Linked DNA regions of Drosophila melanogaster. The protein of the gene in region 2 interacts with the protein of the main gene of each other region in a pairwise test. Each region holds a gene or a part of one and is shown on either strand. Other genes may lie near its edges.

What was found.
Region 1: the proteins of emc (region 2) and sage interact in a two-hybrid assay, tested with the Drosophila melanogaster proteins (one study listed by BioGRID).

The regions. Positions count from the first base shown.
Region 1 is NT_033777.3:9,261,644-9,266,652, forward strand, and holds sage (salivary gland-expressed bHLH), read right to left. Parts: upstream 2,500-5,009; 5' UTR 2,100-2,499; coding exon 1,432-2,099; intron 1,371-1,431; coding exon 1,232-1,370; 3' UTR 1,011-1,231; downstream 1-1,010. Other genes in the region: ATP6AP2 (ATPase H+ transporting accessory protein 2), read left to right, coding at 1-529; TrpRS (Tryptophanyl-tRNA synthetase), read right to left, coding at 3,661-3,765, 3,837-4,416, 4,475-4,886, 4,953-5,009.
Region 2 is NT_037436.4:746,881-754,560, forward strand, and holds emc (extra macrochaetae), read left to right. Parts: upstream 1-2,519; 5' UTR 2,520-2,783; coding exon 2,784-3,347; intron 3,348-5,391; coding exon 5,392-5,427; 3' UTR 5,428-6,612; downstream 6,613-7,680. UniProt on the Drosophila melanogaster protein: Participates in sensory organ patterning by antagonizing the neurogenic activity of the Achaete-scute complex (AS-C). It lacks a basic DNA-binding domain but is able to form heterodimers with other HLH proteins, thereby inhibiting DNA binding.

The DNA of each region.
Region 1 (5,009 bases), on a different chromosome or scaffold from region 2:
CCCAGCCGCCAAGCCCACCAAGCACCTGAACCCCTCTCTGCACACCGCTGACAAGCAGTTCCTCCAGGAGGTTGGATTCATCAACAGTGCCGCCGATCATCTGGCTGAGATGGCCAAGCCCTCGAATGTCCTGATGCTGCGCGTTTCCGTCGATGGAGTGGCCAAGGCTCATGGCGAGAAGTCCGTGGCCGTGGAGGAGGCCAACAAATTGCTGTCGGCCGCTATCAGCCGCCTGCTTGCTGCCTCCCAGAAGTCCAGCGACTCGGTTCTGTTTGTCCAGACCACGGAGAAGGACGTGGCAGCATCGCGTGCCAAGCGTGATACCATTGCCGCTTCCACCACCAATCCCTACAACCTGGCCGTCTACTACGGCAGCGACTACCCGGTGATCTTCAACATCATCCTGTGGTTCATGGTCGTCTTCGGACTGTCTCTGCTGGCTATCTGCTACGCCATCGCTGCCATGGATCCCGGCAGGGACTCCATCATTTACCGCATGACCTCTACCCGCATCAAGAAGGACAACTAAGGAGGAGCAGGAGGAGTTGAGAAGCGAGAGGAGCAGGAGGAGCGAGAGGAGCTTGCGTTACGCTTTGTTATTTCGTCCCCCTTTTAAGTTGAAATTTGCCAACTTCTACTTCAATCCAACAGCGGATAAATTGTGTGTTTGTGTGTGTGCGGACAGCTGTCGCAGTAGTTGGTTTTATTATCTATAAATAAGTATTAAAAAACTTTTCAGTTTTCAATGCAGTTGCGGGCGTCGCAACAATTCCATAGAAATTTGTTACATTTTCCTGTTTTGTTGTACTTTTTAGGTTTATATATATATACGAATATGCACAACATACTCGCCAAGTCAGTCAGTTCTTCAAACGATTCATCATATGTAAATTATCAAAATGTGAAGTGTTGAAAAGTAAAGTTAAATATATATAGCCTAAAAAGACAAAGTTGCGCCTGGTTTTGTTATCTAGTTTTTGGGGCAAATGATAATTGAAATCATACGTGGTATTCTTGATAATTTATTTAATTATTGCACTTATAAAAAGGTTAACATGATAAACTAATATAAAATGAAAGCTATTTCAATTTTTTTCTTCTCAAAATCGTAAAGTATGGACCTTAACTTTTATAGGTTCATGGAATGACTTTGGCAAATTGCGGATATAATATAACACAAGTTTTAAATTGAATATTTAAATGAATTCCCTTTGATATTCGTTAATTCAAGTTACGCTCCCCAATGATCGTTGCCATTATCATAAGGTGAACTACTTCCGCCGCTCCAGGCACAGCATCCATTGCCATTTTGACCCACGGAGCTCTCCCGCAGCATGGCCTGCAGGTGATTAATGTAGTTGATGGCAATCCTGGGTAGGCAAAGATCATATAAATATATTACAGAGCTCTACCGCAGATACTTTCACTTACCTCAAACTCTCGATTTTGGAGTACTTTTTCCCATTTGGCTTGGATATGGGTAGCTTGGAGCGCAGTAAGTCAAAGGCTCGGTTCATGTCCCGCATCCTGGTTCTTTCCCGATCGCAGGCGGTGCGTCTATAGTCCTTCTCCATTTGCAGCGCCTTCTCCCGCCAGGCGGGATTGTGCTCTTTGGCGATGTCCACCTCAGTGCTATTGGCTATACTACCGCCGCTATAGCTCATATACATGGGCGGAGGTACCAGCTCACTGGGTTTGTTGCATTCCAAGCCCACTGGCGAACCGGTGGCCACCTGGCCAGCATGCCACATCGACACCGGCTGAGGTATAACGCTATATGTGGGTGGCAACAGACCCATATTGTGCGCTTCCTTCTCGTAGCCACCCATCACGCTGGGTGAGTAGCTATGCGGATGAGTTGGCGCATATGCCAGCAAGCCTGCTCCATCCGCGGTTAGGGTGTAGTTGAGACTAACTGCCGGACAACTGGACGATTGAGGGGCACCGAGCTCTAGAAGAACGGGCTGTTCCGATGATTCCGCCTCGCCCTCGGATCCACCGCTCAAATAGGGTCCACCGGTGGTGGCTGATACGGGCACCAAAACTGGCGGTGGATCACCCGGTACGCCGGCCGTGGAGCTCAGCAGTTGATCCGTCATCGCTTAAGCCGCTTTTCGAATGACCGATCAAGAGTTCTGGCCGGACTGCAGCAGGTTTACCTGGACTCGGTTGGTTTTTTTTTTTTTAGCTTGTACCTTTTTGTTTTGCTTACTTTTAGTTGCATTAGAGACGACTCTGGCGATCGTGATGAATGGCTCACCATCGATCCATCGATTCGAGACGTGACTACTCATCCGGGGTTGATGAGGGCCACATCTCGTCTAGTTTAAGAGGCCACCGCTTTGTACGTGTGTCAACAGGTGATCTATAGGGGACCAACTTGTCGTCGAGGGTCCTTTTGTCCCATCCAATCGCTGTGCAAACAAAGCGGCTTAATTTCCTCGCTATTGTCCGATCGATCCGACTCCGACGGCTGCGAATGGTGATCGAGGCGCGTGTGGCAGGCTGGAGTTGCGTCCGACTTATGTCGGATCCCTCTCTGGGATCAGCGATCGACGATCGTCGCCACAACTTCAGTTTGAGTTTTTCTTTTTGATCGTCGCTATGTACAAACACCCACACTGGAACTCAGCCCATATGAAAGAGTGTATTTTCGACGCATGTAAACACAAGTGTTTTGACTTAATTAAAAAATACACACATATGCATATAGCTAGTTATGAATATAGGTTCGTCTATATGAAGGTAAGAAACCTAAGCTTGGCCAATCTAGCTCCAAACTTCGCCCAATTCTAATTTCAAACTAATTTGGTTTCTCTCTAGTCAATGAAAAACCGTGATCGCCAGCTAAGTGCTCTTATAATCCTATTAAAAATTATATTACATATTCTATACCTATTTTTATGATTTTTCTTAATTGAAATAGATACTTGCTTAAAAGACTGAGATATTGAGCACAGTTTCCATTATTACTACATATCTTCTTTAATTAATAGTAATTAACTAGCAAATTATTTTTTTCTTCCGAAAATTCAGAATTCCTGAAACTATAAACCGCAAGGAAAAAACTAGAAGAATATCTACTGATAGCCCGCGAAATTCAATTCATGTGCAAGATCTCGGGTTACCAGAAAAAAAAAACAACACACAACTAGAAGTGAGAAAATTACTTACATTTTTCCGAAGTCGAGAGTTATTTTGCTAGCTGGCTAACCAGAGAGGCACCTTTGCCCGGAATCGGAAATGAATATGAGCAGAGTGTAGTTTCTAGGGAAACCTAGAGAGTTGACTTGTTTCTCTCCTTGGCTGAACGTTTCGGGTTTCCAGGAAAATGTATAGACTTGCTAACAACTTCCCAAATGTGGGTCACTGTGGTGGCAATTGCAAATCGAAGCCGAAGTTTATTGTTTTCTGCTTTATAAAAATAAACACGCTGTGTAAAAAATAAAATAAATAGCGAGTACAACGATGCATTAAGTGGGCGCCACACGGACTCAGAGCCAAGGCATAGATCAATTCTGTATAGCTATTTACATAGAAGTGCCTTAGTCGGTTCGGTGCTAAACTAATATCGCTTAGTTCGATTTAAGCTAATTTCATATAAACTGGTAGTAAGAATCGATGTCAAGCAAATGCAGGTACCTCAATTCGGCTACCGTTCTAACTTCCGAACTTCAGGGGTCGTAGTTCGAAGTACTTGTCCAGCACTTCGTCCGTAATCAGCTTGCGGGCGGCCTGATGCTGTTCCACAATGGGTGTGAGCGTCTAAGAAGATCATTTGAGCACATTAATTACAATGTTTTTTGGGAAGATTGTAGCATCATCATTGCACTTACCTCAACTGCCAGCTTCTTGATCTCGCCCGTAAGCATTTCGCCTTTGCTGTAAGCCACTCTCACCTCCTCCAACTTGGCATCGTCCTCCAGGAAGAACTTCAACAGCTGATAGGAGACATCAACTTCCGGAACTCCGCCCAGCTTGCGGTGCTCCTCCACAGATACGCGTCCTCCGGAGAAGGCGTACTTGTTGATCTTGTTCTTAATCTGCTTGGGCGTGTCCGTCAGATAAACAGCCGAGTTCTGGTCGCTAGCCGACATCTTCGTCTTGGCACCCTGCAGCGCCGGGAAGAAGGTCGAATGGATGAGCGCGCATTTGGGAAAACCAAGACGTGGAGCCACATCGCGAGTCATGCGGAAATATGGGTCCTGATCGATGGCGCACGGGATGAGGCAGTGCACCTTCCTGTTGCCGAAGATGAAGGGGAAGGTGCTGGAAATCGCGGGAGCTGCTTGAGCGGCTGGGAAACCAATCTTGCCAATGATGTCTGAGTCCCCGAAGCCAAAGATGCCCTTGACCTGATTGAAGGTAACGCACTTCTGGATGCGAATGATGTTCTGATACATGGCAGGACATTTTCTGTAAGTAATATAGATAATACAGATTATACAGGTTAAAAGTTTTTTAATTTACTTACCCCACGAATTCCAGGTTATTAAAAATGAACGTCTTGTTGACATCGAATCCAATGGCCACAATATCCTTGGCGTTTTCACGTCCAAGCTTGATGGCATCCTCCACTTTCAGATCCTTCCACAAGGTCTTCTCGTCGTCGGTCAATTGAATAACCAGCGGCACATCAAAGGTCTCCTGCAGCCACTTGGTCATGATGAAGGGCACCAGGTGGCCCACGTGCAGGGATCCGGAACTGGGACCGCGACCAGTGTACAAATAGAAGGGTTTGCCCTGTTCGCGCAGTGTTAGAATCGTATGAAGATCCCGGTGCGAGAAGAACATGCCCCTTCGGATGAAGTGGTGGGCGGGCTTTCCCGTGATTTTCTCGAAACGCGCGATAAGCTCCTCATCGATTTTGCTGGAGCCAAACCGTTCTGCAACGTGTCAACATGTCGTTTGATTAACTTGATTAATAATTTGCCTTGCAAATGTCTTCTTACTTATCAGCTTATCATAGTCGACGCCCGCGTCATTACTACTGGCCACATTCCATGGAT
Region 2 (7,680 bases):
ACATGCAATGCACGCGGCGCGGCATGCGGCTGCATATCTGCAACGCCATCTCTGGGATACGTCGGGATCCCCTTATCCCCTTATCCCCGATTTCCTATCCCAATATATTATATATATATGAAATACAAAAAAAAAAAGGCACCGCAAGTGCCCGCCCGCTGATTGACATGTGATCCTCATCTTCATCGCATCCTCCACAAGTTTCTATGGCTTGCAAATAGCGGCCCTCTTGCCTTCAGATTTAAATACACTTTGAATATTAAGTTTATACTTGTGGTATATATTGAATTAAATCGAAGATTCTCAGGAAGTGCATCTTAGATATAGGTAAACCAACTGCAATGCAAACGAACTACAATTTACCATCAGATGTAGGGTATTTAAATTGCGTATTTATAGATTTTCTACATTTTTTTCCAGGTTTCTGCTGCTTTTAACCTGTTGTTGGTTCTTCGGCGGCGCTGCTGATTTGTCATTCAGGCGAAACACTCGCGAGTCGTAAAGTAAGCTCCGTTTCAGTTCCAGTCTCCTGAAATCTGGCGAAGAAGACGTGAAATCATCTCGAGACGTCGTTGTTGCAGCAGTCATAAAATTATGATCGGTATTTTTTAGCCTTCCGTTCCCCTGGGAAATTTGAACTGTGTCGCTGGTTTTTGCCAGCATTTTTTAGTTATTTCGAGTCTAGTTTTTCGACATGGAACATGGATTTCTGCTGTATTTCATGCAACACCTTGTTCCCCGATTTCCAGGAACATATGTATGTATGATCTCGGGACATTCCTGAACTGCGTTTCCACGGAAACTTGCAAATAGACCGTAGTAATTAAAGGCACGAAAGCCGAAGAGCAATAAACACAAGCTTTTCGAGCCCAGTCATGTCTCCCATTCAGCCATAGCGAACCAATTCAAAACCATTTCTAACGCAGACGATAACCAGAGAGAGACGTGTCGTTTTTCACAAACAACGACGCGCCCGCTCATTTTCAATGAAAATTTCCACAATTTCCTCAATGGATCGTCGTCGACCCATCATGTGTGTGAAATACAATCGTGGATTTCTTGCCCAGAAACCCTGCAACTTCTTCGGTGCAATGGAGTGGGAGAGAAGTCGAGGCGCCTCGAACTCTTATGTGTGTTCAAGATGTCGTGGACTCAAATTAAGATAAGATGCAGATAAGCCGTGCATTTCGATTTAGCCGTTTGAAAACTCGTTAATAAGAATTTGGTCAATCCACTGATAACGACTAGTTTTCCATTGAACGGAGGCGCATAACGCTTATCTTTGTTAGGAATAAATATGACAAATTGAACGACTACCGTTTAATCGTTTGTCTATATACGAAAACTTAACAGGATTGTTCGAGCTATCAGTTTATTTGAATAGTTATTGTTAATGAAAACTACTACTAACTAGCCCAATATAATATATTATGAATATTTACTCTTCTTATTTTCAAATGATTTAAAATTTTCACCATTCCACAGCGATTAAAATCTAATTTACCCATGCATATATTTAATATTCATTCTGTAATTAATCAAGCCCTTGTTGAACCACTCGCATTGTCTTTTTCGCCTTTTCGTGTTGATTGTGGAACCTCCTTATCCCACAAAACACTTTTCATTCATTTTCATGCTCATTCACAAAACATGAGAAAAAAAAAAGAAAAACAAACATTGCAGTCGTGAGAGGAAAATTATTGAGCGAGAGTTACTGTTCGTGTTTTCTCATTTTCAGCTGAGAAAAGCAGCCGACCAATCACAAAACCATTTCCCCTTTACAAAAAACCGATCATTTTGCATCTCGTGGAGAGTATTCAGATTTGTTTGGAGAGTTTCGGAGAGGAACTCGTTAAGCCGGGTCTACAAAGGTGAGTATCTGTGGACCGTGGTGGAGTCAGGGGAAATGTTAGTGCTTTAAAAAGTGTCTACTATGTGTGGAATTTGGATTGTATCTTGTGGATTGGATATTGTGGTAAGGTTGAGTTTCATTTGGTATCTCGGGTAGAAGTCAATGAGGTGGATGTTCGGGCACACAGGCTGTAGAACTTGTTGGATATTTTGTCAAGAACTGAAAGTATCCGAAAGGATTAATTCATAGCATATATACCTCAGTTGTATTTTGAATTATTTTAAATTAGTTTTCTCAGAATTCATGGGCTTCACACTACACATCTTCCCCTCTTAAGATCTCAGGCTTAAATTCGTACTCCATTCTCATTGTGGATTTGAAATGATGACTGTGAAGACCAAACACGAAGGGCTACCCCTTAATTCCACATTCTTGTCCACCAAAGCAGACCTCTCCGCAACTCACCTCTTAGGAACTCTCCTAAATTCCGGTTTCAAGTTGTGGTCCAAGTTCCACATGGACACCAATGAGACACATTCCCCAGTCTCCACTCTCCAACCAAGTACATATCTCTCTCCAGCCGAACGAACCCGAGAGCGAAGACTCCGCCTATCGGATTCGGAAATGCCCGTTCGGGGGGTATAAAAGCGGGCGCTCTGAGCGAGCACCACTCATTCGTTGTCTGACCGCTCGCAGCAAAAGATATAGAAATCGAGAACGTAAACGCAGAAAACACGCTGGATTAAAGTGTTTCGTTTCGAACATCGACAGAGTGAGAAAACAAAGTGAAGTGAGCGCACAAAGCCGAAATCAAATCAAATTGAAAAGCCAGTCAAGAGCAATCTTTAACTGAACCTCGCAAGTAATCCGGTACGACCGTGTAACAACCGCCAAGATTCTACTCAAGGAGCGTAAAGCAATCATCTCCAGAATGAAGTCCCTGACGGCCGTCTGCCAGACAGGTGCCTCCGGAATGCCGGCCTTGAATGCCAGCGGGCGCATCCAGCGCCATCCCACGCACCGCGGCGACGGGGAGAACGCCGAGATGAAGATGTATCTGTCCAAACTGAAGGACCTCGTTCCGTTCATGCCCAAGAACAGGAAGCTCACCAAGCTGGAGATCATCCAGCACGTCATCGACTACATCTGCGACCTGCAGACCGAGCTGGAGACGCACCCCGAGATGGGCAACTTCGATGCGGCAGCCGCTCTGACGGCGGTGAACGGACTCCACGAGGACGAGGACAGCGACATGGAGGATGCGGATGCCGAGGCAGAAGCGGAAGTCGATCCAGATATCCTCGCCCAGCGCCTGAATGCCGAGCAGCCGGCGAAAGTCTCTAGTCCCGCCGCCCGTCTCCCGCTTACCGATCGCCAAACGCCCAACACTCTTGTGGCGCCCGCCCATCCGCAGCAGCATCAGCAGCAGCAGCAACTGCAACTGCAGCAGCAACAACTGCAATCACAGCAGCAACTGTCCAACAGTTTAGCAACGGTGAGTTAACAAACAAATTGCTAGGGTAGTGAAAAACCCAAATAGGAAGTGGGCAGATGAGCACAGCTCAGGTCGAAATATTAGGAGAAATAATAAGGTTATGGAATATTTAAAGTAGTTATTTTTGAGAAAATAACATAGTTAAACATTTAAAGTACATGACTTCACTGGTTTCAACTAGACAATAAAGCGATTAATTGCTAAAGTTACGATAAGGAAGTGCGAATATCGCAAAGTTTGCGATCCACCGATTTTCGCTATTTCCTTGAGTGCCATTATTTTGACCGCAGCTGTTTGGCATTTGCATTGCAAATTTAGGAGACAATTGAGTGTCAAACTGTTTGGCTTTACTTGTTTTTGTTTCGCGAGTGACCTCATTCATAAGGCGATTGACGAATGTTTGCGTGAATGTTGTTTTTTTTCATTTTGTTTTATTTTTTTTTAACGGAAGGACGAGGCGCGTTTCGTTTCGTTGGCGAGTTTTGGGAAATTTCTTTATTGGGCGGGTGGCTTTAGACAACGCGGCCTGCCCGATTTTGTCGTACCCTCTTCTTCGCCGCACAGATTCATTTCGTTTTTATAGACATTTCACAGACCGTCTCTGTGCGATTGTATGCGTTGCGGTTGTTGTCGCCATCGTTTCTTTCTTTTGTGTGTTGCCTATACGTAGCTGTTAATTTTTTCTCGCGGCCTTTTTCTGTTGTTGTGATGTTTTAAATGAACACCTGCAGATACTTAAATTTATTTCACACACACTCGCACACACACATACTCACTCACTCACACGCACTTGCGAGCTTGAAAACGGAATTTGGAATTGGGGAATCATCAGTCTTCGTATTTTATTTCATTTGGGTTTATTTTTTGGCTCACTTCATTAGCTCTCAGCTTCGTTACTTCTTCGTTTTTGGACTTTCGGTTATTAATGATGCTGGCGAAAAAATTCGTTTGAGATCTACAATATGTTCGTAAAAACAGGTTCGAAAAAGCTTTTTTTTCAATGGGTTTCTCAAACAAATGATCGACTGGGTGGCCCGGCAAGTGTTATTAATTTTCGATCTCTGATTGTTGATTAATTGTGAAGGTGGAAACCCTTCTTCGAAATTCAGAAAGATGGTTTTGAAATCGTGCCTTCGTCATTCCTGGCTATGAGTTACTTCTTAAATTTTTGATTAATTAACTGTGGGTCTTTAGCTCAGTCCGCTTTGCGTAGGTCTCTTTTCTCTCATTTTGGGTGCGTAATTTTTGTGTTTTTGTTGCAAAACATCTGCAACCCACAAACATATATACTTTTTGTGTTTGTATGATGTGTCACCGCCGCAACAACAACAACAAGCCAACAACAATCCGAGAATTCTTTCGAAAACACGCACACACACACACACAGAAGAACACATGGGGGCACTCAGAAAACTGTAAAAAGAAATGCACGTGTTCAAAATGTTCTCTCTGTGGGTTGTTTTCAGTTGTTTTTGCTGTTTCTTTTTCGATTTTTTTTTCGCGCAGCTGTGCGCCAGTCGCCAGTCGGTCGCTTTCTACATTGTGTTCCCCCCACGGATCCTGCCCCCCCCCCTCCACAACCGCCCCCTCGCAGTAAGAGAGCAGAAGACGGAGGAGAAGAGAGCGCAAGACACTGGGGGAAAAACTGCGTGATTTCAACGTTTTGCTGATTTTCAACTGGGTATACTTGTGCAAGCAAGCTACCTGAGATGTTATTTTAAAACATGTTGTATCTTCTAATGCACATGTTCTTAGTGCAAAACATTTTTCCCAGTGCCAAAGAACTCAAATAAGTGCAAAACAAAAGCTCAATGACAGCGCGTTTGATTTTCTTGGCGCCTCTTTATTGCCCCATCCCCTCCACTCATCGAAATCAGCCTCTCGGCGAGTGTCCCAAACACAAACAAAACAAACAAATCAGTGGAACAGGGAACTAATTGATAACATAGAATGGCGAAATAATACAGCTTATAAACTAATTATTGCATTTCAATCGCACATTAATAATGTACTAATTTGAATCTTCCCGCTTCTCTCTTTTTAGCCACAGAATGCGGAGAAAGACAGCAGACAGTCGTAAGCGTGGAAACGCCCAGCCGGGAAAACCCACGGAACCTATAAGCCTATTAACTAAATGCATAATGAAAGTACAGTCAAAACTCCACTCGCAACCTTCGTGTGAAGATCTCCGCATAAGATAACGTGTGAAACTCTCAAGAAAACCACAGCCCAGGCGCATCTCTTCAACGCTCCTTTTCCCGGGAAACGGAAAACCCGGGAAAACGAGACCTCGCTTTTGGCTCCAACAGAGTTTAGTTTAAACATTTAATAACAAGAATACAACAACACAAAACCTAGCATTAGAGCAGCGTAAGCAAGTACACATTATGATTATTAATTAAACATTACAACTAGGATGATGGCGCTTAAGAATGAACGGAAGAAAGAAAACTTGGCAAAGCTTTAAACAATTTAATTTTCCTTTAACGCTTGAAATTACACTGAAGCATATATTTTTGTTTTCCTAATTTTAGTTTTGTTTTGGTTTAAACAACGCAAGAAAAAATGTTACTAATGCAAAGCAAACAGAGATCAGCAATAAAAAAAAATTATAAAAATGCACAGGCACCAAACTGGAATTACGTTGAATCACCGTTTCCTGCATTACGATTATATGATTTCAATCCAAATGATTTTCCTATTAATTTTAATCAATGAAGAGTTTTCCTATTATTGATTAGCCACAGCCAATAAACAACAAGAACAACCAACTCAGCAGCACACACACATTCAAATTCATTAATTTATATCGAGAGAGTACGTTTAGAGTTTAAGTTCGAGAAAGTTCATTTCCAGGCACTAATTTTCACTCACACCACTCACATAGAAAAACACAAACACCTCATTTTGTAGTTTTCCGAGTCCCTTGGATCGTTTTCCTCTTTTTTAATCGAAATAACGCATAATGCATAATAATTATTACCAGATATACACTAAAACCTATAAATATATATTAATATATGTTCTGTGATCTGTAGCATACTTTGTACAAAGTGTTTTTTTTAGCATAATTATGCGATTTTAATTATGATCCGCAATCGAAATTACACATTTTTGTTCTCATTTCGATGGTAAAAACACTCTATCATGATGTAAAAAAAAAAAACAAAAGAAAACATTTGATGATGTTGCGAAAAAATATATTATCTAAAACATAAAGAAAAACAAACACTAGCTCTTAATAAATTGCAAAAATTTAAAAAACATTAAAAATCGAATATGTCAATGGATTTCCGTTGGGAGCAGGGGATTAAGAAACTACCAGATCTTACCGCAAAAGTCGGTAACTACCTGCAGACAACGACAACAAGTAGCCGGGGGAGGAAAACTCAGCTGGATGGCCATTTTCACATGTAAACAAGTGCAACGAATTACCAGAACAATGAGGTGGATGATATTATTCTCGGAGTTTCATGGGCGAGCGAGTTTTCTCACGCAGCCGCCGCCTTTGTCATTAGGGGTTTGGTTTTCCCATTTTCCATTTCCCAGGTAAAACGGCCGTAGGGTCCGTTGAAAACTCGACCTGCACACGTGTGCGAATTGCGGACGGAAAATTTCCGTTGAGAAAATTTCCTTCACTGTGGCCTGGCCGCTTTTCCTTTTATTTCACGTACGAACCACTTGGGTGTGGATTTAGTTTTGGATTTTCTGCGCTACCCGCAGCTGCCTGCCCACCCACTTCCACTCACACTCACACTCCCACGGCCCACCGCCCACTGTCTCCCTCTCTTTCCCGCTATCTGGCGGCCTATTAGCGTTAATGATTGCAACTACAATGCACTGACCAATTGGCAATTGCGACTGTAGTCTCGGGTTGGCTTCGAGATCGGGGCTTGGAGCTTGGAGCTCGGCACTCGGAGCACTCGGTGCCAGTCGCCCCATTCAAATGTCAATTCGGATCGGACCCCAGTGGACCGCTGGGGAAACACTTTGAACAGCTACGAAAAGCTTTTCCGCGGAGCCCATAAATCTGGGATGCTCTATGGAAGGCCCTAAAATGTATCATTAAATCTTTAGGTTAAGGCACTTTCTTGAAAAAACGACCTATTTACATCTTAGCAACCATATTAACTAGTTTAATCATGCGGTAAAAGTAGTCGATCGATTTCCTTGTGCTAAACTTAACCCAACACCTTTTTGAAAACATATTTTCTTTAAAGTTGTTGCATATTTTAAATAACACTGTTGACAGATCTGCACTAAAGTACAATTTATTACATTGCCTCCTGTTAATTGAGCAATTAATACAATAATCGTAAAAAATACCCATTCC